4 linked regions of the Drosophila melanogaster genome follow. The protein of the gene in region 1 purifies or fractionates together with the protein of each later gene. This does not show direct contact. Each region holds a gene or a part of one and is shown in the gene's direction. Other genes may lie near its edges. The genes, in order: dah, Rhp, DppIII and CG32536.

What was found.
Region 2: the proteins of dah (region 1) and Rhp purify together in Drosophila melanogaster (affinity purification with mass spectrometry, with the first as the bait; one large-scale study listed by BioGRID). This does not show direct contact.
Region 3: the proteins of dah (region 1) and DppIII purify together in Drosophila melanogaster (affinity purification with mass spectrometry, with the first as the bait; one large-scale study listed by BioGRID). This does not show direct contact.
Region 4: the proteins of dah (region 1) and CG32536 purify together in Drosophila melanogaster (affinity purification with mass spectrometry, with the first as the bait; one large-scale study listed by BioGRID). This does not show direct contact.

What each region holds. Positions count from the first base shown.
Region 1 is NC_004354.4:15,325,087-15,332,368, forward strand, and holds dah (discontinuous actin hexagon), read left to right. Parts: upstream 1-3,255; 5' UTR 3,256-3,357; coding exon 3,358-3,586; intron 3,587-3,649; coding exon 3,650-3,866; intron 3,867-3,923; coding exon 3,924-4,781; intron 4,782-4,845; coding exon 4,846-4,963; intron 4,964-5,025; coding exon 5,026-5,185; intron 5,186-5,247; coding exon 5,248-5,615; 3' UTR 5,616-5,916; downstream 5,917-7,282. Other genes in the region: Top1 (topoisomerase 1), read left to right, coding at 1-114, 189-439, 501-652, 730-832; CG9114 (uncharacterized protein), read right to left, coding at 5,941-6,401, 6,458-7,282.
Region 2 is NC_004354.4:15,786,579-15,795,572, forward strand, and holds Rhp (rhophilin), read left to right. Parts: upstream 1-2,318; 5' UTR 2,319-2,534; intron 2,535-3,668; 5' UTR 3,669-3,711; coding exon 3,712-3,810; intron 3,811-4,164; coding exon 4,165-4,281; intron 4,282-4,400; coding exon 4,401-4,528; intron 4,529-4,664; coding exon 4,665-4,818; intron 4,819-4,883; coding exon 4,884-5,324; intron 5,325-5,409; coding exon 5,410-5,566; intron 5,567-5,631; coding exon 5,632-5,879; intron 5,880-5,939; coding exon 5,940-6,069; intron 6,070-6,133; coding exon 6,134-6,459; intron 6,460-6,513; coding exon 6,514-6,666; intron 6,667-6,730; coding exon 6,731-6,934; 3' UTR 6,935-7,054; downstream 7,055-8,994. Other genes in the region: mRpS30 (mitochondrial ribosomal protein S30), read left to right, coding at 1-51, 216-1,431; sordd1 (suppression of retinal degeneration disease 1 upon overexpression 1), read right to left, coding at 7,523-7,623, 7,689-7,855, 7,919-8,484.
Region 3 is NT_033777.3:8,341,801-8,349,303, forward strand, and holds DppIII (dipeptidyl aminopeptidase III), read left to right. Parts: upstream 1-2,599; 5' UTR 2,600-2,683; intron 2,684-3,008; 5' UTR 3,009-3,065; coding exon 3,066-3,223; intron 3,224-3,292; coding exon 3,293-3,599; intron 3,600-3,658; coding exon 3,659-5,554; 3' UTR 5,555-5,665; downstream 5,666-7,503. Other genes in the region: Arl2 (ADP ribosylation factor-like 2), read left to right, coding at 1-50; PNKP (polynucleotide kinase 3'-phosphatase), read right to left, coding at 71-1,642; COX7AL (cytochrome c oxidase subunit 7A-like), read left to right, coding at 1,973-1,999, 2,055-2,348; CG7352 (uncharacterized protein), read left to right, coding at 5,964-6,824, 6,879-7,418. UniProt on the Drosophila melanogaster protein: Degrades neuropeptide proctolin (RYLPT) by cleavage between Tyr and Leu residues.
Region 4 is NC_004354.4:19,273,819-19,280,007, reverse strand, and holds CG32536 (uncharacterized protein), read left to right. Parts: upstream 1-3,109; 5' UTR 3,110-3,183; coding exon 3,184-3,531; exon of another isoform or gene 3,532-3,790; intron 3,791-4,479; coding exon 4,480-4,608; intron 4,609-4,668; coding exon 4,669-4,851; 3' UTR 4,852-5,004; downstream 5,005-6,189. Other genes in the region: CG8028 (uncharacterized protein), read left to right, coding at 21-1,034, 2,031-2,175, 2,244-2,364, 2,444-2,705; CG32537 (uncharacterized protein), read left to right, coding at 5,180-6,189.

The sequences.
Region 1 (7,282 bases):
AGCGCGTCTTTAAGAACCTCGAACTGTTCATGGAGCACAAGAAGGAGGGCGACGACCTCTTCGATCGTCTCAACACGCAGGTGCTTAATGAGCATCTCAAGGAGCTGATGGAAGGTGCGTATTTACAAATTATCTATAATTATTTTTCAACATACTTACTCGTCGCTTTTTATTGGCCAACGCAATAGGTCTCACGGCCAAGGTATTCCGTACGTACAACGCATCGAAAACACTGCAAAGTCAGCTGGATCTGTTGACCGATCCGAGCGCCACGGTACCGGAAAAGCTGTTGGCCTACAATCGCGCCAACCGTGCCGTGGCCATCCTCTGTAACCATCAGCGTTCCGTGCCCAAGAGCCACGAGAAGTCAATGGAGAATCTGAAGGAGAAGATCAAGGCCAAGCGGGAAGCCATCGAAAAATGCGAGTCCGAGTATCATGTAAGTATATTCGAGAGGTTCTTCCGCTAGCAGTATGTTTAATTGTTATAAACCAATGCAGTCGAGAGACGAGAAGAAGGGCAAACAGCTGGAGCGCCTAAGGGATCAGCTGAAGAAACTAGAACTACAAGAGACTGATAGAGACGAGAATAAGACCATTGCCCTGGGCACATCTAAGCTAAACTATCTTGATCCACGCATATCGGTGGCTTGGTGAGTGGTCTCTCCCTTCAAGCAGCACATTCCACTCAACGAGAACTAATATATATATATATATCATCCATTTGCAGGTGTAAAAAGCATGACGTGCCGATTGAGAAGATATTCAACAAAACGCAAAGAACCAAATTTCTGTGGGCCGTTCATATGGCCGATGAGAATTATCGTTTCTAAATGGGTTCTCCTCACAGCCACGCCTAGACACAAACACACAAGTACGCCGACCCTTCCTCCACCCACCACCACCCCTTCAGACACACACACAAACACACACTCGCACCCGATCGAAGAAGATGTAACAACAAACCACACCCACCACAAGGCCGGTTTATAAATAGATTCCATGCCAATCCCGCCATTGTTTGGTCCACAGTTTATGCAATTGATAGTGCATATGTCCAGCTTTCGGCCAACGCAATGGGGGATTGTTAGCCAAAATGAGCGGGACGGAATGCTGCACTACATCGTAGTCGTGGAACCGCTTGTACGCGTCCGTTTTGTCTGCTTTGAATGGGATTAATGGGATCAAGTGCATACTACGCCGAAGTCTAACTTGCGAAATGTGCACACCCAAACACAAGCTAATCCAATATATGTCAGTTTTATTCATTAAAGGCAAGAGGAGATGTGAAACCTGGGCAAGACGTCGCCGCCACCTAAAAACAAATCAGGAGCATAATTTTCTATGTCTCTACAAAAGAACTTTTTTGTCAAGATACCCTTATACTTCATAATTTTACATATAAAACATATATACATATATATATTTATATTTATGTATATAATAATATTTGTGTATATATTTTTATTTTTAATATAATACATACATTTACATAAATATATATATATAGATATATATATATATATAAAAATATAGATGTATATATATATCTATATATATATATATATATTTAATAGCAAAAGCAAACGAAAATTATACAATTTAAAACGCAATTTTTTTTATGTTTACCTATAGTTGATTTTGTTTAGCGAAAACAAAAAACAAAAACAAAAACAGGCATTTGTACATAACAAGCCAGCAATTAGTTACCAAATTAGATATTAACTAAATTAAGATATAATAACATTGTAAATAAATATAGCTGTAAGCCCCGTAGCTAATGCTATACTATCTAAGTTAGTCTAGTTTTGTAAACTATTCTATCTATCATAATAATAATAATAATTTGTATAAGTGCAAACTGAACAGAGAAACCTTGTAGCCCAACTTTTAGCATAGCATAATTTATTCAATTCAACTCTGAAGCAGCGCTATTTGTCGACCGACCGCCCCCGAAAATGAAGAACAAAGCCACATTGGATGGATCTCGATGTGGTTTCGCTTTGATTTCGTACCTTATGATCATTTTAGTTAACATTTCGAAATATACAAATGCTAAATTGATTTGCAGACAGACCCTTAACTTTCTATACTCTAAGCAGACAGGTTTCAAGTTCTCAACCGCAAACCAAGCCGCCATCACACTGAAAACCAATTGCAGATACAAATCAAACGAGCAATTCAAATAACTCGATGAACCAAAACAGAAACACAGCCAGCAAACCAGTCGCAGCGAAAGAAAGAACTTTAATCTGAAAGAAAGGAACTTTATACATATAGAATCTATAGAAGTATGTGCAATTAAGTGAGCTAAAACTATACCTTAAACCTTGTAAAAATCGAGCCTTCACTTGAATCCTTCAGTCGACGAGAGCAGTGGATTCAGGTGGAGTTAGGAACATCCCCAACATCCATGTGCCCCAATCCCATCAGCTACGATTATGGCCGTACTTTTAACTAAGCAAATCGATGGAAATTTATATCTCGCCTCACGCCCCCCCTAGCATAAATGGCAAACGCGCATTGCAAATGAAGAGCGAACGATCTTTATATACATACATATAAACACACACACACACACGCCCAAACACATATTATAATTAGTGATTGATATAATGTGAACGCAAACATCTGTGTGCGTTTGTCGTGGATTCGCATACGGAAGCGGGAGAATGCTTTTAAAAGGCAAAAAAAAAAGTTAAATAAACTAATTACGAACCCTTCTTCGAACGCCCAGCCCCGCCCCGCCCCGCCACAACACTCACATATAAACTTGGCATATTATAATATTGATATAAGCAAACAAAAAACAACAAGCGAAATGATAAGAAACCCACTATTTTAAATCGAAAGCAAAGTAAATGAAAAACAAAATAGCATAAGTGAATGTAATTGCAATGGAATGATGCAAATATACATAAAATATATATTTAATTTTAAAATCTATGTGACACTCTTTCCATTTCCTCGTTTTGGGTAATTATTCGCATTCAAAAGAAGGGTTTTTAAATAACTTTGTTTTGTTTTTGAAATTGGGAAAATACTATGGTGAACCCAAGTTGTTCAGTTTACATTTCCCGTTGCTCAAACTTATTTACCAATTATTATATCATGGTCAAATATTCTTAGAACGAACGGATGACTTAATTAATGATAATAATAATTTTGAATCAAATTTAAAGCGCTAACGGTTCGGCGAAGTGATATCGATAACACGCGCGGCGTTGCCACCTCACGCCACACAATTTGACTTTTGCGCTAACGGAAGAGGAAGAGATCGCGAGAAACGACGCGTTTAAAAGAGACTGAAATTAATTCGAGAATCAAGGGAAATATATAACAATAAACGCCTGACAAAATGCTGAGATCGTCGGTGCCCGTGCAGCTGACAAAACTGCGAAATAGCGCCGAGGCCGTGGCGTCCATTGCCCGCGAAAAGGGATCCCAAGGTGGCCAAGGACAAAAGCAACAGGTGGACAAAGAGCTATCCACCATCATGGATGACTTGCAGCGGGATTACGGGAATTACAAGTACACGGTATACCGGTGCGCCAGTAAATTTGTGGCGCTGCAAAAGATATTTCACAGTGAGTCAGTCGCGTAGGTGGTCCATTCGAAGGAGTCCCCAAGGATTAACCTTCAAATTGCAGCTGGAAAAATCCCCTACAAGCTGGTTTTGGCCATTTTGGATCGCCATAACTTGAGTGGTGGCCTGGAACTGATGGTTCCTCCATTCCAGTTGACCTCCCTGCTGCACGATGTATACTTTGCCTGCGAGAAACTAGGCCATTTCAACCAGGATGCGAACTATAAACTGGACAGGGCAACCGGGCTGTTGGCCAACTTCTTCTGGAATGTCTACGATCCGTGGGTTGAGTTTCTGGCATCTTAAGAATATGTCTGATATTTGATTGGTTTCGCTAGGCAACGCAGACACTCCATATCCCTGTTAGAGATCAGGATCACCTTCATACTGCTGTGCAAGCTATATAGCAGCGATCACCTGGTGGGCGACATCTTTGGCCTGCTGGCCGATCCCAAGTCGCAGATCATCTCCAGATATGCATTCGAACAGCTCCTAGCCACGCTGAGCAAGTTACTCAGCTATTTGGGCGAGGCCAAGGCCTATGGCGTCCACAATCTTCCGTTGGCTATGGAGCAGTGCTTTGCCCGCTGTCCGCATGGCGTTGGTGGACTGACCGAGCCGCAGTTCCACAAACTCTGGACGGGAGCGGGTGTCCAGACGAGATTCCTGATCTATGGCAATCTGCTGGCACTGGTGAAACGCATCGAGGACACCGAGCATTTGATTCACAGTAATTCTTGTGCCGGCTGCCGCAAGGAGCACATTGTGGGCATACGTTTCCGGTGTCAGGTGTGTAGGGATATATCGTTGTGCCTGCCCTGCTTTGCAGTGGGCTTCGCTGGTGGTCGCCACGAGCCGGGTCATCGGATGTGCGAGGTCTTCGTGGAGGATCAGCCGCCATTGCGTTGGACCCGCCACCTGGCCAGGCTGTGCGGCTGGCTGGTGATGCCGCGCAAAACACAGGAGGAGGAGCGTCGCGGCTTCTGTAATGCGCAGGAGAGTGGGCCCGCCTTGGGTCAATCCGCTGCCACGCCCATTCCCGCAGAGACGCGCAGTGTGCGCAGTCAGTGCCAGGAGAAGGACCGCACAGTTGTCCTGCAGCAACAGCAGCAGGAGCTCTGCTCCCTGACGGGTCTAGCCAGCGAGGCGTCCAGCAGGCTGCAGTCCATCATCGATCGATTGCTTTTGCAAAATGCGTGGGTGTTTTCCCTTCTTTCGCCACACTTGTTAGCCAAGCCTTAAGGTTCTCTTGCATTTCAGGAAGCTGGAAACCCAGCTGCAAACAGTGGCCACCGCATCTAGTTCGGAAATATCGCAGTTTCTGAGCGCCCATCAGTGCTTTCTGCTGCAGATTATCGAGGATATGCGACAGCTATCAGTGAGTTTTCCAAACATTCGGCCCATTTAAGCTGAGCTAACTCCATTTATATACACTTGCAGCATGCCTCAGCGGTAACTTCGCCGCCACCTGCGCCAGCTGCCCAAGTGGCGCCTTCAGCTGCGCCCCTAGTCAGCTCCACGTTCCTTAGCTCCAGCACGCCTCAGCGACAGATGCTATTCGACATGTATGCGCCCGTGGGTGCCAATCTCACGCACTCCAGTAAGAAGAGAACCTTCAACAGAGCCATGAGACAGCTCCACTAAGTTAATCGTTTCTTGTAGTAAATGGCGCCGACTTGAATCGCAGCTATCTGGAGGCAAACAAATCGGATTACTCGCTCAACGACATAAGCTTGTGGTTCGACCAGCGTCGCTCGAGTGTCCAGCCAGGACAAGGACCTGGTTCCCTGCCGGCTCCTCTGCCGCTGCCCATGCCGCTGGGTGCTCTACTGGAACAGCAGCCGGCAAACGGCGGAGATGGCCGCGACACCGAGATGGTGAACTTTAAGCTGCTGCTGCACAAGGTCAAGGAGATCGTCGAGGACTCGTACAGCGATAATGCCGAACTGTCGGCGGCCACGCAAAATCTGGAGAACGTTCTCGATAGCATCATCAAGAGCGAGGAGCAGCAGCGGCGCATCAGCACGTGAGGATCCGGATCGGATACCAACTCCCATCGATTCCAGCCAGACCAAGTCCACTTAGCTTTAAGTTGTAAAGTTGTTCTAAAGTAATCGTGACAAAATGACACAACCGAGTCATGCATTTATTATATCCTTCTTCCTTTTCCCATGTGCTTTAACATTCGCGTAAATGCTTTAATTTGTAAACTTACAACTCTGACAAGAATGCAATACAACAAAATGTTTTTATAAAAATATACAATGCAAAAAACACATTGTTAACAAAGCATTTACATACAAAATATCAACTTTGTAGATTTTCCAATGCAAAGAGAAGAAAAAAAAAACGCATTTACGCCCCATTGTCATCATCATCATCGGTGAATAGCATAGAAGCCAACACATCGCTGGCCATTTGTGCCTTGTGGAGCTGCGTCAGCTGCTCCCGGCGCTGCTCCACACTGGCTGCCGGCTCACTCAAAACCTTCCAGGCGTCCATCTCCTCGAACAGACTGTTTAGCAACTCCATCTCCATGTCGGCAGGCGACATGTTGTGCTCAGCGACCTCTAGCACATTGAGGTTGCAGTGCAGCTGGAGGAGATCGCGCGTCAGGCGATGCAGTAGCAGACGCAATCGATCGTCCGTTCTGGCGTACACATGCCAATGCTTTCCGGGATCGTCGCGAAGCAGCAAGGTGTCACACCACTGTGACTGCGGCTGGCGATTGTAGAAAATACGCTGGACAGGATCGGCGGCGATGTTGGAAGACTGAAAGTGAGACCCAGGCTCACTGTCGTCCAGCAAGTCGGAAGCTGTAAGGGATTATGAGTTAAAAGGGACAACAAGTGGTCTTGACAAAGCTACTCACTCGGCTCCTTGTTTGCTTCCTGGGCTTGGATCAACTGAAACTGCAGCGTGGAGACGAGTAGCTGCTCGAATGTCGTGCAATCCTGGGCCGACTGGAACTCCAATTTCAGGGAGCAACGTGCCGTGTGCGTCATAATAACGGCCAAAAAGTCTTGGTGCAGCGTGGCGGGCGAAAATGTGGGTGCCAACGATTCTGTTTTATCGAGCAGTTTCTTCACATCGAAGGTAATGAGATGGATTTGCCTAGGGGATGCATCCTCGCCCATCTCGTACGTTGCCATCAATATGAGTTTCTCTGCCTCAAGAAGATCGACCAGACGCAGGCTCACTACCATCGCGGCAGATCGTTCCGGCGGTAGTATTCTTTCCTTCTCCACCGGTCGCCATTTGAGACGCCTGCTATGCTGATCCTGGCAGGCCCAAAACTGCGCCAGCTGGTCGTAGTCCTCGGGTGGTTGGCCATCCGCCTGCAGAGGCAGCTCGTACAGGCGGTGCTCCACGCTAAAGTCGGTGTGTGGTTCGATTACAACAATCGGATACAACTCCTTGACTATGGTGAGGCGATTGGTGCCAGTTATGTTGACTAGCAGAGTGCCACAAACAAAATAATCGCCGCAGATCCGAGTCCATACATCGCCGAGTCGTCGGAGCGGCTGCTTCTCCTCAAGGAGCAGCGAACGCTGGCCCGGCGTGCCGAAGTATAGAAGGTCTTGGACGTGGGCTAATTCCTTCTGGTTTTGCATTCGCTGGCTGTCGAGCTCGGCTTGGGCGCGGTGCACCTCCTGCAGCAGGTTCTCGAAATCCTTCGCGGGCAAGCCCGCATTTT
Region 2 (8,994 bases), 460 kb from region 1:
GGCTCGCGGGGATGTTATTGATGCCCTCGAGTTTGCCCACGACTACTACAAGTGGGTACAACGAGGTCCGCTTTCAACGAACCAAGTTCTCCGGCGAGTTTGTGGACAGTAGTTGGTCCAACTCACTTAAGAACTCGGATTGGTTGGAGTGGTCCCAGTTACAAGTTCGACCGTCTGATATTAATGTATTCATTCTCCTCCATTACCAAGCGTAGGCATCTGGAAAAGCAACACAACTCTGCCGAATCGAACCCCGTTGAACGTGAGCGCATCCTAACGCAGATCATTGTAGAACAGCTGAACAGAGCTCTGCTGCAGTCGCTCAGCGAGGAGTACAAGCACCTGGATGAGCTCGATGTCGACTACAATCCACGCCACGAAGCGTTCTGGGCCGTTGGCGGCGTAGATCCTCCCAAGAACGTGCAGAAATCGAAGAAGGGCCGGGAATGGCAAAAGGATATGGCAAACGAGAGCGTTGATCGGATGGTTCAGTATACGGGAGCGCCGTATCTTGCCCTACGCCATCGCAAGCAATTGACGCCGTGGAAAACGGAAGCGGAAAGCGAAAACCTCGAGCTGAGCAAACAGCTGCCCCGTTTCAAGCACGACCCGCGAACCCTCGGCTACAGCACCAAGCATCAGCACGCCACCAATGTGCCAGGCTATTGGCCCAAAGGAAATGAGAATAACTTCGGCCTGCTCTCATTTCAATCGCGTGCACACCTGCAGATCCGTCCGAAATCGTTCGGCGAGCAGGATCAGCTGGAGGCATTGCATTCGCTGGCGATTAAATCGTCATACGCCTGGCTTTTGGCCCAGGCGAACTACAATGGCTTCAACACCTACAACGAACTGACCTATCCCATGAACACTCAAACTGTGATCACGAACGGCAGGGAATGGAGCTTTTATGAGTATCAGCTTAATACGCTGCTGCTGCACGGCACAAACGTGGCGGAAAATCCCCGTGTCAACTTCTGTCGCGGTACAAAGCCACTTCCACTGTACGCCGAGATTTCGGCAAGCGGCAAGTGCGTTGATTTCAACGATAACGCACTGCGGCACCTGCTCAATTTCTATGCCAATGCGCCATCGATTCAGCGGAGCATTGGGGAGCAGCAGCCGTATGTTGCCTCCGACGTTTCCGCCTATGAGAACGCCGAACAGCGTGACTTTATCAATAAGACCTTCAAATATTTGGCATCAAACCGACCGCGACACTTGGAGCTGCCCGAAATCTACCTGTGGGAGAAGCTATACAAGATCGATAACAACAATCGTGCCATGGAGGCTAAGAGACGCTTCTTCGAGCTGGACATCAATCCTTGGCAGCGAACGCTGGACACACATGACAAGGAGTATGTTCCACGTGCGGTCCGACCAGACGTCCCTAAGAATAAGAACAGGTTCAAGAAGACGTACTACCCTTAAATGAATAAATATAAAACACTTCCTAAGGTTACACTTGTTAAAAATGCTGAATTTTTAATGTGAAATACTGGATTGCAGATTCGGAGCAACGAAACGGTGTACAAAGTTTCTTTAAACTTTGATTAACTCAATTTTCCGCAAACTTTTGTCAGTATGTTAATGATTTTTAATATAAATATTTTGTTAAATTTCAATTTAAATTCTATGCCATACAAAGTATATATATTTATTAACTTTGTTATGCTTGTGGTTAAACACTTCTGTAAATTTATAAGCTAGTCTTTTTTATCTTAAATTCTTTCAAATAGATATGATTATACAAATACCTGGAATTTTGCCAATTATTAGTGCTGATGATGCTAAAACTTGCCAATGCAATGCTTCTTATCATTATTTAATTGTTTATGCAGCACATATTTATTCTAGATTCCATTGTTTATTTCATTTATCAGCACTGCAAACATACCGAAGTTATCTCAAAAAGTGGGTAAAATGCGGTTACACTGCACCAGAACCATATTTTTCGAACGTAAAAAAGGTTTATAATGCTATAGTGTAGTTTAAATCTTTTTACCAAATCATATATTGTTTGAACATAATAGTGCACTAAGGTTTATATGATATTCCATATAAGTACACTTCAAACTCTTACTTAGTCTGGTAATATGTATGCATTAATTAATTACTTGATTATTTTATTATCCCATTTATTATAGTAGTTTTACATTTACGATAATAGCTTTATAGTCCACTACATCAAAGTTAGGATTGCTGAAAAAGTTACCACTTGTTGGTTATTTCGGTAACGTCCCAGCTAACCGTATGGTATGTTATAACGGCCGTGCGACGGTCACACTGGATCTGAATAGTTAGGCTCGAGTAAATAACCAGTTTGAGACTTTACGGTGGTTCGGAAACTCGTATCTGGCGCTTCGGTTGTCCAAAAAGGTAGAGCAGTAACCTGTTGCATATATATTTCTTTTTTTTTTGGTAATAGTGGAAAGTGTAGTGCAGACAAGTCGAACCCAACTGATATTGAGTCGAAATTCCGTTGGGCAAGTGCTGAAAAATCTTGAATATTGATCGTGGAGTATGTGGATACGGTGAGCATTTGTGGGCAAACAAGTGTATTTCTCGGTTATTTGCTTCTTTTTTTGTCGAGTCCATCGAGCTTATAAAGTTGTAAGGCGTGTAAATATGTGTATAATAATTATGCCATAACATACCAGTAGTACAAAAGTATGCTACTGATGATGTGGAACAAGCACGGATTATCATAAATATATGCCATGGACTCTCTGGAATGCCAGTGTAAAATAGTGAAACCAGTGGCCAACCACATATTTGTCTACATCTATATCTATGTCTATGTGTATATATATATATATATATCCATATCTATGTCTATTCCTCCCCCTCCGATCGCGAGCAATCCGATAAAACACTGTATTTATGCTTTGCATTCTGCGATCTCATGAATACGTGAAATCAACATCGAAATCTCCAGCCAACCGACGTGCTTGCATGTGTGTATAGTTTAGTTGAAACAAAAAGAGAATTAACGACAAAACAACCGAATGGCAGTTAATTCCTATTGTTTTCGAGCGGCCTGTCCCAGAAATACAGTTCGATCACAAGCGTCATATCTCGGTGTCCCAGAATTCCAGTTCTTGGCACACACTTTTTATAGATATGAACTGACTTTTATGATCTTGACATGTTTAAGTCTTCGTTTATGCTCAAACCCTTTAATATTCGGACACTTTGTAAGTCTCTAATGTTCTATTAAATAATGCCATTGCAATCCAATGTGTTTATTCACGATATCTCAAGTTGAGTTTGCCCTGGAGCAGTGCCATGACGGTTATAATATGTTGATGTTTGGCGCTGCTTAAATGGCTCGCTCGAATCGAAAACCGTTAAGGCGATTGATGAGTTTGACCTCCTAAAGCTAAAAAAGAAGAAGAAATGCGGTTCTATCTTTAGCTACTCATGTTGTGCATACATACGAAAAACGAGCAGCTCGTGTTATAATAGTTAGTTACACCATTCATAACGCGACAACAAGTGCTGCATGGATTTTCATGATCTTGGTCTTGTCTTGAAGGTCGGAAGTCTATTATAGAACTCTCTATATGCGGTGTGGTGAATAGTTCGGTGGGGGGGGGGGGAGGTTGTATTGTTATTATTTCATCATTTACCCACAAATTGAAAAGTAATCCAGTGTTTATTGGCAGTCCTTTTGGATCATAATCATTTCGGATTTCGGATCTTTGAACCATGGATGAAAAGGAACACGAATTGTCGACGAGGGTGGTGAAAAACGAGGAGAACGAGGATGACGAGAAGCTCAATGAGTTATCCTTTTGTTTTGTTCGGGTAAGTGTAGAATAGCAATCTTATTTATTTATGTTTTTGCGCACTTAGCGATTCGAAAAATGTCAAGTGGTATTATTCATGTATATTGTAAAAGTATTATTATTTTCCATTGCAATTGTTATCACCTAAAACGCCATAAATGATTGTATCACCCAAAAGCTTTGTTATGGAATATTTGATTTTGAACACTGAGTCATAACTTTAAGGGATCGCTATCATGGCTAATGACGTTCAGGAATCCGCCAAATATCTCCACAATATAGATTTAAATTCGTATCTATATATATATATATTTATATATATATATATATATTTAGATACAATCGATATAATCATATAGCATCCTGTTTCCAGGGTTCAGATCCACGAGCTGCCACTTGTCGTAGCAAACTCCAAAACAGGCGATGCAAATTAAACAAAGAAATAAATAAGGAACTCCGCCTTCGAGCTGGTGCCGAGAATCTATATAAGGTGCGTTACCTTACCTTCCGTTATCACTCTGAACATACATATGTATGTCCATGCCAAAACTAAATGCATATCTTTATGTATATATATATATATATATATATATATATATATATATTTAGGCCACATCGAATCGCAAACTGCGCGACACAGTTGCCTTGGAATTAAGCTTTGTCAACTCAAATCTGCAACTGCTGAAGGAGCAACTGGCCGAGTTGAATTCGTCGGTGGAAATCTATCAGAGCGAAAGGTGAGCTAATAAGCCCGCTCCTAGGATAAGAAACTGGGTGGGAAGACCCACCACAAGGTCTAACTTTCAAGGAAGCAGGCAGTTACAAGGCATTCCTTTGATGGTATTATAATAATAATCCTCTAATACTCTCTAGTCACAATGGAATTATGCCCATGATACCGCTGGGCCTGAAGGAAACCAAGGAGATCAATTTCATGGAACCCTTCTCCGACTTCATCCTGGAACACTACAGCGAGGAGCCCTCGATGTACATAGATGCCATAGCTGATATGACGGACACGAGACAGGTAATGCCTCGTACATATATAAGAATTTTATGCACATATAATCCAATGCGAAAAATTTCTAATAGGCATCCAAAACACCGTCACGAGATGCCCTGGGAGTGGCCCTACTTTTCCGCTACTACAACACGCTGTATTACGTGGAGCGTCGCTTCTTTCCGCCGGATCGTAACCTGGGCGTGTACTTCGAGTGGTACGACTCGCTCACGGGAGTTCCCTCGTGCCAGCGGACCATCGCGTTCGAGAAAGCCTGCACCCTGTTCAATCTGGGCGGCATATATACACAGATCGGCGCTCGACACGATCGCACGACGGAACGGGGTCTTGACTTGGCCGTGGATAGTTTTTTACGGGCCGCCGGGGTCTTTCGTCACATCTACGATACGTTCACGAATGCACCATCGATGGACCTGAAGCCACAGGTCCTGGACGTGCTCGTTTCCCTGATGCTTTCCCAGGCACGAGAATGCCTCTTTGAGAAGCTTCAGCTGCAGATCGAGGCGATGAGCGTGAGTTTCCGTCAGCATATATAGTATATAGTATATAGTATATAGTATGTAGTTACATAATTTTACCATCTATATAACCATACAGCACGATTGCCAGGCGTTTCGGGATCTGGCTGGCGAGGCTGCTCAAATATCGCACGAGTACAATGAGATGCACAAGAATATCCAGGCGAACGATACGCACACCTATCTTCCGGAATGCTGGGCCGGTCTAGTGCCAGTCAAGGCGGAACTCTACAAAGGTAGAATTGGTTATCACCTCGAAATGGGAATATTCATTCTAAAGTATGATTGTAAACGCCAACAGCATTCGCACATTTCTACAAGGCACGGAGCATAGATGCGACAGACGAGCTGAAGGCATCAAAGTCAAGTCAAAAGAACCAAGAATCCTTCATCGGCAATTCCCAGGAGGTGGAGCGCATCACCACAGCCGATTATGGAGCCAGCGATGAGGCGTCCACCTCCATTGCCAACAAACTGGCCCACTTAAAGGAGGCGCTGGCCAGTATCGAGGAAGCCCAGCGATTGCAGCGGATGTGTCGGTTCTTGAAGGTAAATATACTTCTTATATCCTATAGCCTAATAACCTAACCTTTAACTTTAATCTTTAAGAACAAGGCATCACTGACTGAAGTCATGAAGGAGGTGCACTCCAAATCGCAGGAGGAGCTCGAGAAGTTCAGACTGCAAGCTTCAGCCAAAAATATCGAAGATGGCGATCTTCTAGAGCGATCGGTAGAAGGTACATATATCATACTCAAGATAAGCCGATGTCTTCATGTACATACATGCATCCATATCCTCAGCATCTTCGAAGTTCACGTTATCCCTGACCGGACCCGACTTCACATCGCACAAGGTTAAGGATCCCTTCAAGCGCCTCGGCCCGATTGCAATATTCTCGGCGAGACGCCACTGGACAGCGCCCAGATGTGTGCGTCTCCAGAAAGGTTCCTCCCTGTATCACAGCGTGCCCAGCAATGACAACAAGTGCCCATTGGATAACGATGATGACGAGGAGCACGATGGTGGATACAATCTGTACAAGGAGGAGTTTGAGAACTTTGGCTTCCATGTGCGCGGCGATGCTCCGGTGATCATTGCCCACGTTGAGATTAATTCTTTGGCAGACGTAAGTAAATGCTACTTCCATCGATTCGTCGTATACTGTAGGCATTATTTTCAGCTTGGCGGCATCAAGGAGGGAGACTTCATAGTCGAGATAGCCGGCGTGGACGTGAAGTGGTACTCCCATCAGCAGGTGGTGCAGCTCATACAATCCTGCGGCTCTACACTCGAGCTGAGAGTGATAACGCCCATGGATCGCAACTACTTGAAGGTGCATTTTGTTTATTAATCATACGTAAAAAATCAGCAAACAAATTCACCTTGTTTACGCACAGCCATTGTCGTCGAAGGGCTCATTATCAACGCTATCGGCGGCCAGTTCATCGGGCATTTCATCCGGATTTCCCAGTCCCACAAGTATTGCGGCCAAGCCCAAGCTCCACCTGAAAACATCCTCTAGTTCGCGACCCGCTGGCAGCGTTTCATCCAGTTCGTGGAATCCGTTTCGGCGAACGCCTAGCTTAGCTAAAATATTTTAAGTAGCCATCAGTTTTATTTTGTGTTTTATTTTTTTGCTCTTAAGGCAATGGCCATTTCAAGTTAAAAAGAATGTTGTGCAGTTTAAGTTAAGCAATAAACTTAATGATTTTTTAAAAGCCCCTCTATTATACCCATAATTTATTTTATTCCTATTGATTCAATCGCTCCCAATCACCCATCGATAATAATCTACACGGAAAATGAATTGAAATAAATGTTTTTAATGTTTTATCGAATTTAAAATATATATTTATACAATTTTTGACATCTACATTTGAATTAAATCATTACGATCCAATGATTTCGAAATTTCAGTTTTTTATGCTGGAGTCGTAGGGTATCGCGGACTTTTTGAAATAGTTTGGGATCCAATCCACTTCTGTTTTGCGAATCCTCAAATTACAATTATAACCGAATGCTAACAATTTATGTTAATTAATCACACCAACGACTATTGCCCAACGAGTTTAAGAATATTGTTGATTTAACTGGAGGATACTGCTATATGATTACTTCGCACGCTTTCCATACACATTTGAACATAGGTTCTTCTTATCGGGGTGATGTCTTTATGCGTTCGCAGATTGCTATGCATAGAACAGCCACAATATCCACACAACGGCCAAATACGAAAACAGCTTGGACAGGGTCTGTTCATCCTCGTATTGCCTTGTTCCCCGATTAGCAGCTAAATACATGGGCAAATGTTATTTAATATCAATCTCAGAACTATTGAGATGGCATGTAACCTACCAGGTGGACGTGGTTCGCCAAAGTTGAGCGTAGATGTTATGAACCCGAAAGGAAAAGCTCCAATACCGAAAGACATGTGAAATCCGTCGCCGAATCCGAATCCAGGGAACCCGGGAACAGGATCTGGTTCTGTACGTTGTCCAGCGGGGCGTGGTGGAACTTTGTTACTGCAAAACACATATAAGTTGGGTTATTGAAAAATACTCATGTTGAAAGCGGTTCAAACCTACCGTGGATCTTCCTGGTGTGTACTATTTCTTCCGTACAGCGGTATGACCTTATCCTTATCAACGGCAGCCTTACAAACGGGACAGAGTTTGCGATTGGGACGCGTCAGGAGCCACTGATGCAGGCACGGCCAGCAGAACAGATGGCCGCACATGCTGACCACAGCATCCTTGGCGGTGTCCAGGCATATGTTGCACTCGTAGAGTGAGTCGTCTGCGGTATGTTCCTTCTCCTTGTCCTTTTCGTTGGCTTTTGTGTCCGTATCGGTGCCGCCGAATGGATAGCCACCCTTCAGATCGGCCTTATTGCCACCAGATAGATAGTCTCCAGTAAAGGAATACGAAGTGTTGGACTTCTTCAGTTCCGATGCCGTCGAATTGGTTGGAATCGAGGTACCCAGCGGGCGCAATTGACTTGTAGATGACTCCTCAGCCAAGGGTTCTGTGATATCCCGAGTCCAGGCTATCTTGTCGTAGCTCACGTTGTTGGACAAAGTCGATGAGGACGACGATGCCCCGGTTGATGTGCTGGGAAGCTCCGCTGTGGGTACACTTTTCGGTTCCTCCATGGTTTGCCCAAGATGCGGGTAAAGTTTTAGTCGTTCAAGCTGCAACGTAACGTTGGATGATTTAGAAACCCAAATTTGCTAAGTAAGTCTGTGTTCACCCTATTGACAAGTGCCTAGATTGCTTAGATGATTTTCCTAGGCCATTTCTGGTGTACAACTAAGGTCCGCACTTTCTTGAATATGACTTAATTTAATTAAATACTTCAAGCGCAGTTTGAAGGGGGTTTCCCCCGAGTTCCGCAGCATTCAGCATTTGTCCGACCCCATGGGGTGGTGTTTATGGCTACGAAAACCGCCCAAAGGGCGTATTTACCACCAAGTCTTCAAGGATAATGCACCGAACATTCCCATTGGCTGCACCCACATAAATTAAACAAAAAAGTCAAATTTTGTTTGAATTGCGTTGGCAAACAAGACGGTATACCTGCATATGTACCTGGACTTATGTGCGTACTTATGTACACATCTACACACTCAAACACTCGCGTGTATATAGGGCTAGAAGGTTTC
Region 3 (7,503 bases), on another chromosome or scaffold:
TGGACTGGTTGATCGCCGATATAGCTAAGCGTATATTCACTTTGGATTAAATACAATTTATTTTACTTCCTTATTTCTCGACCAAGTACATTTTGTATAGCTTTTCCTGCTTTTCGTCCGCAAAATTGGGCTTAAAGTTCACCTTGTGTATGGATATAAATCCTTCGTCTAGGGCGGGTTCCTGGTACTTTTTCTTCATCATGTTAAATACCATGTCCTTGATCTTGGTGCGCGCGGAGTCTGATAGCTCTCGGAAAGCTATATTGTGCTTCACTTGGGCGACGGGCACATTCATCACAAGGCAGCGGCATGGAATCATCTTTTCGCTGGCCAACTGCAAGAATTTTTTTCGAGAAGCTGCATCCACATTGGTGTTATCCACCACACATGATTGGCCCGAGTCCAGGAACCGTTTACAGGCAGTCAGGCAGTTTTGAGTGCTACCCAATGTATCTGCATTGACGATTTTGTAGCCCCGCGGTTGAAAAAAGCTGGAACAAAAGTGGCTCTTTCCGGATCCTGGCAGACCCACCATGATGACCATTTCGCAGGGGTGGTCATCGAGGGTCAAGTCATCCGGATCAAGCAGAGATACTTGGTCCTGAACGCTAGTGGGTTCAAAGTCCGGCTTATTCCACTGCTCCACTTGTTTGCCCAGGAAATGAACCTCTGGAGTGTAGAATGAAATTCCCACGTTGGCTGCAAAAAGTCTGTCTACTAAAGAGTGATCTTTGCGCCGCTTGGTGGCTCCCTTGCCCGTCTCCGGTCTTCCGGCTGCATCGCCGACGAAGAAACATCGATCTTCCTGAATCTCAACGCCATCATTCATTTCACTCTTTAAGTGCTGCCACATTCCCGTCAAAGGTTTGCGATAAAATCCATCACCTATGGCTATAAATACTTGAATTGGAACTCCCAGTTTAGCCACAATATGCTTGATCTTGACCTTAAAGTCATCTAGGTTGATTTTTCCACGAGCAATGCCTCCTTGGTTGGTGAAGAGACAGATTTTAAACCCATCCTTGTGGAGATTCTTTAGTTTCTCCGGCACTTCGGGAAATATGATCTGCCAGTCGTCGGTGTTTTTGGGGAACACCAGTCCCGATTTTGTTTTTATAATGGTGCCGTCCATGTCGTAGCCAGCTATCTTTTCAGAACCTTTAACGCCGACGCTGGTAAAGATAACCAGCTTACCATTGCCAGATGAGTCCCACCTCTCGGATTTCTCTGACGGTGATAGTGTTGTGGACAACGGCTCAGCTTTCTCCTTGTCATACTCCGGTGGAGGGTTAAAGACGACCTCGAACTGATGCCTGCCGTAAACGATCTCCACCAAGTCTCCGTGCTTCAGCTCGCGTTCCCCGTTCTGCATAAGCATCAGACCATTGACGCCGCAGGGATTAACTCCCAGGACTTTAAGTGAAACTACAGCCTTTTTTAGGTCCACTTGCAGTTGAATCTGTCGCTTCGAGCACTTGGAATCTCGGATGCCGGTCTCCCGGCTGCGTCCCACGAAATTCTCCCCAGCGGTCAGGTGTATAGAATGGTGTTCCGGCTCAGTGGGTTTAAGGGTGCATATCCTGGCGGCCACATCCTTGCCAGCTTTTCCAACGGATCGGTTTAGGTATTTAGCCATAGACATTTTGGTTAATCAATAAATAAGAGCATTGCTTAATATTGACACCAAAATTCACTAGAGAGCGAATAGTGTGACCTAATTTGGCATTAAAAGAAGAAGAGTGGCACACAGACATATGTACTTTGAAATGAAAGTGGTTGTTTTTACCTATTTAAATTGAAAAATAAATTACTCCATATAAAAATCGGAGCCTAGGCTCTGTGTGAAACCCTTCCAGAAATCTTAAATCCATCAAAGATGGCTTATAGTAATAGTGTCACTTAAACATTATTCGATAGTTAAAGGCAGACAAAATTTTGTTCCGAATACTCCAGAAAGTTTCAGGAAACGTAAATGCAAAGAAACTGTTTCTCTTTGCGCGTAAGTTACCACCATTCCATACAAAACATTAATTTAATTCGTTCTTTCCGATCAGCCCTTCCTTCGGGGAGTCGGTGATGTGGGTGCAGTTTGTAAGCCCATTCGTGAATTTCGCAACTCGGCTGCTTTGAAATATGCTGCTGCTGCAGCTGCAGCTCCGAAGACACGTCCTGGAAAAGTTCCTCCAAAAATGGTCAAATTGAGGAAGCAATTTCAGGCGGACAATGATTTGCCGATTTTTCTAAAAGGCGGCAGTATGGATAACATATTATACAGACTCACCTGGGTGCTCTGCTTCCTCGGCATAGGTGGCGATGTATGGTTGTGGCTTGGCTATATCATTGCCTAAAATCAACAGAGATCATGCAAGCAAGCCCACAAAACACAAATACTCTGTACACGAATGCAAATACCAATTGTAACGACACATACATTAGTTAACTAGTAACGTTTCTGTACATAGGTAGTTCAAATACGGAAAATCAATTATATAATAATAATAATGTGCTTTACTTCAAAGTGTTCATTGGAGTTTTTAAATTATGCCGCCAATATTTTGCCATTCACATATCATATAACACATATGTGGTGTTATATCGACTCACAAAGCAGCTGGTCACACTGCTTGAACAACTTGCACTTTTGTCGGCATTTCTTAACTGCATATTTTCTCACTTTTTAAAGGTAAGTACGCACGAAATTACTTATTGATTATCTTTTCCACTTAAAACACGAATGCCCGGTGGGTTTTTGTTTGTTTTGCGATTGACTAACCACGTAGTTCTTAAACATTCACATTTTCCTTGGGCTCTGCCAGTTCTTCACGTTTTCGGGCTCCATTTTAGCCATAGTTTTGTTTTCTATATTCTTGTGGTAAAACGCCGCTTAACTGCCACATCTGCAGTTTAGCCGGCTTGCTGGAGATAAAATTGCATTATCAAGTTTTCATGTGTTCCCCGAGTTATTTGGCTTTTCATCCAAATTAAAGTAGCCTTTTCACATTTTCCAGTTGGGCGACAAGTAATGTAAAGTCTTCAAATAGAATACTCTCAAAAAATTCCCAGTAATGTTTTGGCTAAGAGGGCTACAGAGATCCCGGCAGCAACTGAACAGGCTGTGTCATTTCCGTAGTCGTCTAAATTACGGGACCAGTCCCAGTATTCGCTCAGTCCAACCGTCAATCTCCAGAAGTTTGGGATTTTGTAGCTCCCTCGTTCGTTACAGGTATTTGCCAGGTGTTATCTAAAGCCCATGTATATAATCGGTCCGGTTCGCCATATGATATCTTTGCAGCTGCAGCACCAACCTTCCCCAACCCGCTGAGATGGCCAGTAAAACCGCGCACTTCGTCCTGCCTAACACGCAGCCCATTGCCGATTTGGACTGCAAGAGTGCCTTCGAGAATCTCACCGAGAAGGAGAAGCTCTACGCCCACCACTTCAGCCAGGCCTCCTGGGACGGCGGACTCATTGCCTTGATCCAGTCCAGTCCGGAGGCGCCGCTCATCTTCTCCCTGCTGCACCGCATTTTCCTAGCCGAAAAGATTCCTGTTCTTAGGGCGAAAGCCCTGGAGGCGGGAGTGTCTGCTGATGATTTTACGGTATGGCAGAGGAGAGTTTCATATTCTCGAAAATAAATATTAATTTTGATCACTTTCAGGCCTTCCTAGTGTACGCCTGCGGTGTGTTCGCCAACGCGGGCAACTACAAGGGTATGGGCGACAGCAAGATCGTTCCCAATCTCTCAGAAAAGCAATTTGAGACTATAGTAAAGGCATCCGCTGCTTACAGCGATGAGCCGCGCGTAGGCAAGATCTTCGAGAAGGTCAAGAATCTGATTTATGCGCTCGAGTCGCGTAACGAGATCCTGGGCTTTGCTCCCGACGGAATCACCACCTACTGGTCGGATAACTGCACCAAGGAGGACTCCGAGATCGTGAACGCTTGGCTGACCTCAAAGCGTATCGAACCGTACATGTGCCGGACCTTCAAGATAGTTGAAAATGGTCAAACCGTCTACGATGTAAAGCTGGGCTCCGTGGCGGAGTCCACGCAGGACGGCATCACACTTCCGCTGGAAGAGTATAATGGCAACAAGTTTAGGGTGACACGCGGTGATTACCAGAAGCTGCTTCAGCGCGTCAACCAGCATCTGCTGCAGGCCCAGAAATACGCAGCCAATGAAAACGAGTCCAAGATGATCGAGCACTATGTCCGATCCTTTGAACAGGGCTCGCTGGACGAGCACAAGAACGGATCGCGTTGGTGGATCAAGGACAAGGGACCTGTCATCGAGACCTACATTGGTTTCATTGAGACATACAGGGATCCTGCTGGAGGTCGGGCTGAATTCGAGGGCTTCGTGGCCATGGTGAACAAGGAGAGCTCGGCCAAATTCTCCGAGCTGGTGAACCGCGCCGAGAAACTAATAGAGTACCTGCCCTGGACGGAGCCTTACGAGAAGGACTCTTACCTGAAGCCAGACTTCACATCCCTGGATGTCCTCACATTTGCCGGCAGCGGAGTACCAGCGGGCATCAATATTCCCAATTACGACGAAATCCGCCAGGATGAAGGCTTCAAGAACGTCTCGCTGGGCAATGTGCTGGCCAACATCAACCGCAAGGATCCCATTCCTTTCCTCACCGAGGAGGATCAAACTCTGATGAAAGAGTACAAGGTGAAGGCTTTTGAGGTGCAAGTGGGCCTCCATGAACTCCTAGGCCATGGTAGTGGCAAGCTATTCCGCATCGACGAAAATGGTGTGTACAACTTTGACAAGGAGAACACTAAGAACCTGGTCACCGGTGAACCCATCACCAAGTGGTATCTTCCTGGAGAAACTTACGACACCAAGTTCGGAGCAATTGGTTCCTCGTACGAGGAATGCCGCGCCGAGGCGGTGGGCTTGTATCTCTCCCTGCAGCGTGACATCCTGGAGATCTTTGGCTTCAAGGACAAAGCCGAGCAGGACAACATCATCTATGTCAACTGGCTGAGTCTCATCTGGAACGGCATGGGTGTGGCTCTGGAAATGTTCAACCCGAAGTCCAAGCTGTGGCTCCAGGCGCACTCTCGCGCTCGTTTCGTGATCATGAAGGTGCTGCTGGAGGCAGGCGAAGGACTCGTTAAGGTCGAGGAAACCGAAAAGGGTAAAAACCTTTTGCTGACGGTGGATCGCAGCAAGATCGATACCGTGGGCAGGAAGGCGCTGGGCGATTTCCTGACCAAGCTGCAGGTGTACAAATCCACCGCCGACATCGAGGCAGCTTCCAAGATGTACGAACACTACTCGAAGGTCGACGAGAGCGGATCGCATCCGTGGGCCAAGTGGCGGGATATCTGCCTGGCGCACAAGAAGCCGCGTATGATTCTCGTCCAGGCCAACACGGCGATCGGCCAGGACCAAAAGGTCCAGCTGAAGACCTACGAGCCCACCCACGAGGGGTACATCCAGTCATGGGTGGAGCGCTACCCCAACACTGACATCGACGATCTTCTGGAGAGCATCGTGGAGAAGGACAAGAAGTATTTCCCGACTGCCTTCAACAACTGAGAACATTTCGCATTTAACATTTTCGCCTTCATTATCAATTCAATTTGTTAACTATGATTTTGAAAAAAAATATATAAAAATATATATAGTCATCTAATGACCAACAATTTTAAATTTTAAATTGCTTTTATAGTAAAACTTTCGTAGTGAATGGTGATTTTAAGATCGTTTTTGCCATTCACCGAAAATATTGACAAAGGACCTGAATTTAATTGCTTGTATGTACATACATATATTGCGACCAAATGTATATTGCTCATAATAGCTCCACAATTAAGAATGTAAATATAAAATCAAATACTACAATTTGTTCATTGAATGTTTTCATAGTAGCCAGTCGATAAATATTGGTTTTTTTTTTTTTATTTTGTTTCTCGTTTCCATTTCTGTTTGCATTGTTTTGACCACCATGGCAACCGGTAGAAATCGTGGTAACCACAAGGAAGGTGGCACTATCAACATCGGACAGCCGCTATTCCAGGTGCCTCATTCATTGCGCAAGGAGCACGACTTTTTCAGCTCACAGCTGTTCCGAAAATTGCAGTACGACCTGGAGGAGGTGAGCCGCAGCCAGGAGCTTTCCAAAGTGAGTCCCATAACCCGCGACTTCATCGAGGAGGCAGCGATGACGCAGGAAATGCAAGATCTTAAGCGTGCGGAGTTTGTGGAGAGGAAACGTCGCCAGCAATTGCGGCGGGATTGCGAGGAACTGCGCGACTTGGCGGAGCAGCTGCGCCTAGCCGCCATTTCCAGGGATATAGCCGAGAATTTGGAGGAGAAAAAACGTCGTCGACAGCTAGACATCAAATTGGAAGCCGCGGAAGTGTCCCAAGAGCGCTGTCTGCTGGAGGTCAGGCAACGTGAGAAGGAAGTGGCTCTTAAGGAGGAACAACGCCGCCTTAGGGAGTCCTTGGCTGAACAAATGGAGGAGAACCGCCGACGGCGCCTGCAAGAGCACGCTCAGGTGATGAATGACCGGGAGCTGAGCCTTCTGATGCAGAAGCAAATCCAGGAAGAGGATCGAGCCCAGGAGCTGGAGGCGCAGAGAAAAAAACTACAAAAGCGACAGGACATGCTGCGGTCCATCAAGGAGAACCAGGAACTCAGAGAATGGCAGCGAGCTCAATACAACCAGGAGTTGAGTGACTTAGTCCAGAAGCAAAGTGACATGGAGCGCAGGAAACTCCAGCTGGAGGCTGAACGCCAGGAGATTCAACGCAAAAAACAAGAAATCAGCATTCGTTTGGGCCAGCAAGTCCTAGAAATCGAAGTAAGTCTTGAAGCGGTTTTTCGATTCAATCAATAAAGCTAACTCTTATTGCAGAACAAAAAACGGCATCGCGACAATCTGCTGCTGGATCTGTTGGAGGCGGAGTACACGGCCAAGAGTGACGAGCGCTATCGCCAACAGATGCAGCAGGAGCAGATGTCTCGCCAGCGCACCAGACAGGAGTTGGATCGCTATCGACAGGAGGTGAAGCATCGTAAGATGGCCGAAATGCAGATGAAGCGGGCGGAGATGGCTACGCGGCAGGAGGAGGCGCCGGATACAATCAACCAGAATTCCGAAAAGCAACTGGATGAATATCGCAGACGCCGGGCCCATGGAGCCTCCTTGCTTGCTATGATTGAGGATAATCACCGGAAGCGGGCGGAGGCCACCGCTGAAAATGTTCAGTACTTTGACATGAAGGCCAAGATCGATGCCGAGCAAGAGGAACGCATCAAACAGGAGCGTTTGGCCATGTTGAGCCAGGTTCCTTCCTCCGTGCTTCGATATCTACCAAAGCATGTCCTTAAGTCTACGGATAGGGAGCATTTCTGCCTAATTGACGCTCAGGCACGGGGCGGTGGCGATTCCTAGTCAGTGGCATAGTTCCAAATTGTAATTCTAAGACGGTCAAGTTTATTTTTGGCTTCCAAAAATAAATTATTTAAAATTAAGCGCC
Region 4 (6,189 bases), 3.9 Mb from region 1:
ATTCAAACGATTACTTACAGACAAGTGCCCTTGCGGCTTTGCCATCGTTTGGCCTGGTCTTCGGCGAGTTCCTGAAGAGCATTGGAGCGGAGACGAGTGCCATGGCCATCATAACGAGTGCCTTCTTCTCGTCGATGAGCTTCGCCGGCCTGTTCTCCGGCTCCCTGTTCCAGCGCTTTGGAATGCGGCAGGTGGGCGTCACTGGCGGCATCTTGTACTTCCTGGGCACTGGAATGCAGTTGTTCGCCACCTCCACGCTACACCTGATCATGGCCTTTAGCGTCGTTCAGGGATTCGCCTTCGGGCTGATGGTGCCCACCTGCTATACGACATTCAACCATTATTTTGTCAAGAACCGCGTGATGTGGATGAGCTTTGCCCAGACACTGATTGGCTTGGGCTCCATGCTATATCCGATTGTCATGCAGAAGTTGATGTCATGGTACGGCTTCCGCGGTTGCCTGCTCATCCTCACGGGACTGAATGCTCATGCGGTGTTCGGGATGCTGGTCATGCACCCAGTGGAGTGGCACATGCGTCGCGTGCCCATCCAGCCCGAGGAGCAGGAGGAACTCAAGGAGTTGAGCCCAACGGTGGTGATTAGAGTGCAGCCGGAAACACCGCTTAAGGCTACCAGAGAGGAGCCCAACTTTCATACCGCTGATCCAGGAGCGCGAAAGCTCTCCCACGCCGAGGAGCAAATGCTGAAGGTTCTGTCCAGTCGGGCCTCGAGCATCACCAGCCTGGGCAATTGGTCCGGACCCGTGGTGGTCAGTGACGCCTCGCCCCAGATGATGCACAGCCTGCAGACCTCACGGCGTCCGAGCACGATTGCCGGTGCATCAGGTGCAGTAGCTCCAGCCCACGCTACCAAAAAGAGCTGGGTGCGCACCATCGTCGACTTCCTCGATCTCACGCTGCTGAAGAAGCCCATTTTCGTTAACATCGTGCTGGGCATCACCTTTGCCCTCTACTCCGACATCACCTTCTTCACCATGCAGCCAGTCTACCTATTTGAGCTGGGATACAGCAGGGTGAGTCATTACCACAATATCCACAGTTAAGGGCTGGAGCAGTAGGCTTACCGTAGTTTACACTAAACTTGCTAGCTCTATTGAAAGAAATGTAGATGTGGTGGGTTGATTGAAAAATTACATAAAAATTGTATGCATATATGTTAGCAAAGTAGAATAGACACCATATTTATGTGTAATTAACATAAATTTTCGCAATCTTTCCATATGTACTTTTTACTTTTCGTATCCCTAATCATATCCCTAATCTTGATAACCTTATTCAAAATTTCTTTGAGAAACCAGTTCAAACTGAATTGAAATTATATCACGTGGTATAGATCGTATATCTAAAGTCACCTTGAACAATCTCTAAAGCAGTCGACTTGCTGCTTGTCAAGCAGTTTACTACTTGCCAAGCAATATCTACGATGCTTGCATATAATCATATCTTGCAAAGTAAGGGGTATCTAATAGTCGCGGAACCCGACACCCGTTGCTGATTTAATTGAATTTTTGTTCTTGTGAATTATATACAAATAGATTTCTTTTAGGTATCACAAAATGCCAAAATTTACTTGCGAAAACGCAGTTTCAATAATAATTACTAACTTTTAACGCACACCAAACTTAACACTTTGAGCGATCATATAAGCAACTGATAAATCTGAAATCGATAACAAAAATTAAGTTATATGAGATTTAGAAGCAACTTAAAAGAATAAAAAACGTTCACAAAAAAAGGCAGAAACGAACGCGACGCCATTTTGAATTATTCGAATTCACTTTGTCCGCTTTCGCCGTTAAAAAACGGCTAATCGGAAACAGTATTTTACAGATTAAAAAAAAAAAATTAAAAACCTTGTAAAAGAAAAACATAAAAATAACATAAGCTTACCGTAAGAATATATAAACGATTTCTAAGTGGTTTTCCCAGTCTGATTATTGCGATTACCAGGTTATTTCCAGTTCTTTCAGTAACTTCTACATCCCATAAATAATATTGTTTTTTTTCAGCCCGACACGGCCACCATTATCGCCATTGGAGCGGCCGCAGACTTGGCATCTCGTATTTTCCTGGCCATCACCGCCGTGTGCATCCAGGTTCCTTCGAGATACATTTATTTGGCCGGAGCCGTTTTCACCGTCTTTGCGAGATTCGGTAGGCGAACCCTTCCTTGGGCTCCAAGAACTCCCTTCCTCCCACTAATCTCACTCATTTTCCCACAGCCTTCAACGGAATCACACAGTTTGTGGGCATGGCCTGCATCACGGCGGTCATTGGATTTCTGCGCACCTGGCTCCACGTTCCACTGCCTCTGGTCTTTGCCGACTACTTGCCCAAGGAAAGGTGGGTTCTTTTGGCAAGCTTATAGCATTTATCACAAAATTATAATATATATTCCTCATATATTTCCATCTCGTTTAAGGTTCGCCACTGGCTATGGCCTTTTCATGTTCATCCAAGGCAATGCCATGTTCCTCATCGGTCCCATTGTTGGGTTTATTCGGGACAAGACCAGGGATTACATTTTCGTCTTTCACATCCTAAACGGCTTCATGATCCTGTGCGCCGCTCCTTGGGTCCTCGAAGTGCTGATCGTCAAGTTTCGGAGGCGTAACAAAATCGAACGCAACAACGTTGATCACGAGGATGTTGATAACCAGGGACGTAGTGCAATGGTCCAATAAAAAAAACTCTACCACCCCCCCCCCCCCTTCCTTTTTTTTTAACAAAACATATCGTGAATTATTGAGGTAATTTAGGTACAATTACGAGAAGTATTAAGCAAATAAAACCAAAACATGTTTTTAGATGGGAAATTAAATTGTCAAAAGTATCATTTGCGATAAAGAAAAAAACAGCTTGTTCTTAAAATGGAAATTTGATAATGAAACATATATATTTAATATTTAATATAATAGCTTGGAAAAATGAATGTGATACAGTATTTTTCAAAAAAGGAAAAAACATAAATTCAAAAATCACAGTTAAACTGTTTAATACTTAACGGTAATGTCACAGTTTTCGGTATTTACAAATAGAGAAGTCGGTAGCTTAGTACAACCATTTGGTATTCGCCGCTGTCCACGTGGCGGTCACACTAACGGGGTCCAAGAAACTGAAATTTAGTAAATAATATAGAATAGGATAGTTAACCAGGTGACAATGCTGCAGCAAATCAAGATGCTGGTGCTGGGCATCATCACGCTGTGCCGGCGTGCCTTGTGCTGCTTCTCCAGGCGCCGCAAGCTCAGCCACAGCGGCTCCGCCACCGGATCCGCCGACCAACTGCAAGCGGTCAACGTGATCGTGGAGCGAGGCGACTTCTCCGCCACCGGCGCCACCTCCGCTGGCCAGGCCGGCGGTGGCAGGACAGCGGGGGCGCGCGAGCGGGACTGGAACTCCTGGGACGACAGTCCGCGCACCGTGGAGGAGCACATCGAGCAGTACCGCCAGCGAATGGCCCAGCCACCCACTCCGCCCAAGGAGGAACCCGAACCGGACTTCTTCAGTGTGAGTTGGTACTCAGGCAATGGGCGCGGATTACGCAGATTGCGCCGCTTGCACGGCCCATAGTCGTAGCCCAATTGTAGGGATATTCACGCTCGCTGATGGTGGGATAGTGGGCTATGTTGGGGCTAAATGGCGACATCCCCACCTGTACACGTATCTAGGTGACTTCGGCGTGTTTACCCTATACCCTATCAACTGCACAAGTTTGTATGTGGGCCATAATCACGTCATAAAGATTAGCAGCCATAGAAAACGACAGGTATAAAAATCTAGAAAGAAATCATTTTCGAAACTATTCACAACCATTTATTTCAAATTACGCTTAATTTCTAGTTGTGTTTAACTAAATATTTGTGGAATATTTAAAAGGTTTACTTAAAAAATATGAATATTTAGCTTATTACTGTGATAATTTGTTAATATTTCAATAGTTTTTTAGAAATTTCAAAAATATGATTTTATGAGTCCACAACATTTGAACCAGGAATACTTAAAGAGTGTACTTAAACGCATTATTTGTTAATAGATACTTGCAGATTTGACAAATGCAAATGTCAAAATATTTATCCTATGATTTTTAAAGCTATAAAATATAGAAAACTTGCATAGTAAACTAAAAAGTGAGTGCTTACAACGCTGAATAATATTTGTTAATGAACAGCCGTTTTTAGTTTGCTAATTGTTCATATTGAGGTATCTGTTTTATGAACAAAAACTCCATATTATTTCTACGCAACAGGCATTGATTTAAGTAAAAAATAAAAAACATGAAGAACCATCCAGCTAAATAAGTTAGTTAATACCTACAAAAGTAAAAACAAGCAAATAAAAAAATTGTGAATCACAATGCATATATTCTTTATATGACTATATATAGAATATATAAGTATTTATAATATCTGTGTTTCATATCCTCAACGATTTGGCTAAAATGTAACCTTCTTTTAGGAGCTGACGCCCACCATCAAGCCGCAGATGAAGTTCTACCTGGAGGATCCATCCACGAGTGCGGCGACCAGCCAACAAAGTGACTTTTCAAGACTGCAGGCCCAGGACTTGGTGCCAATTAGCGTAAATGTGAGCCAGTTATAGCCCGAATGGAATGCATGAAACGAACTAATGTTTCTTACTCGGCAGGCCGATCTCGAGGACTGGGTGGATGATAATGCCGGCGGCTGGGAGGAGCTGGACACCTCCCAGACCAAGCACATTCTGCGTGAGAAGCGTCGTGAGTTGCGCCATCAGCGACAGCCGCCCGTCCGCCCGGCCCCGCCCACTGTGGGCGCTCAGCGACTGACCGCCGGACAGCGAGCGGCGTAGTTGTAGCTGCACCAGCCCCTAGCCAACCTCACCAACCTCACCAGCCTCACCCACTCTGACCATTCCACAACCGACCACCTGCATTCTGTTTCCCCTTTCTTTTGTTCGATTTAGTTGATTGGCTACACGAAATAAATCTTGCCTTTCACTCGCACTTCCCTCCTCGCGGATCAGTTGGGCCACACTTCCTGATGGCTCTGCGGTTTGGACGCGCTCCATTGGACCCGCTTCCATCTGCAGTGAAGTGAAGTGGCGTGCAGTCGAGTCAGGCCGAGTGTCGAGTCCATAAAAGCGACGGCAGGCGACGGAAGTCGCAGATTTCTATGCGATGCTGTTGCCGGAGCTGCTGCTACTCGGCTTGGCCGTCTCCCTGGCGGACAGCTACGACCGAAGCGTCAACTACTGGGAGGCCTTTGCGCCCGGCAAGCTGCTCCAGCGCCTGGACGCTCTCACCGTCACGGATGTGGACCAATCGAAGGTGGTCAAACTGCCGCAGTTGATGCAGCCCATCCTGCCAGCCAACGAAGCGCAGGCCAAGGTGGATGAGGACGTGGACGTGGATGTTGAGACGGATGCAGAGGCGGCGGCCGTTGACGATGTGGACAGCCTTAGTGCGGAGACCAGCCACGAGGGCTACTCCGGCGAGGACAACTACGAGCGCAACTACGAGCAGTTCGTCAAGGAGTACTTCGATCGGGCTGCCGACGACGATGACCACGACGAAGGCGAAGGCCTGGTGGAGGAGGAGGAGGAGGAGACCCAGGCGGAGGCCACCAATGTCAGGGATCAGCGCTGCCGGCAGGTCAAACGGAAGGATGGCCAGCTGTGCGAGATCTGTCGCCAGTTGAAGAACAACGAGGTGTCCGAAACGTGCAGCTACTCGCACGACGACCAACCGCAGCAGTACGCCTATGGCAGCGGCAGCCAGTACAAGCGTTACCGCGACGATCCCGCACAGAAGGCGGATCAGGAGCAGGCCGAGCCGGTGGCGCCCAGCAGCCTGTGCGTGCGCCGCCAGCAGAAGAACAGCGTCTGCTACGAGTGCAAGGACAGCAAGGGCCAGAAGATCGAACGCTGCTACGATGTGCAGGCCCGCAAGGCCAAGACCCGAAAGACGAAGGCCTCCTCCACCCGTCATCCGTCCAGCTCCGTTCACAAACGTAAGCCGCGTTCCCAGCAGTCGCAGCAGTCGGAGCAGGAGCAGCGCATCTACAAGCGCACCATTAGCTACAGCTATGCCCAGGGCACGGATCAGCAGGGGCCGCGGTCGGAGCAGCCGGCCGGCGGGACAACGGAGCTCCCAGTGCCACGCCAGCGTCGCCGGCGGCTGGTGAAGAT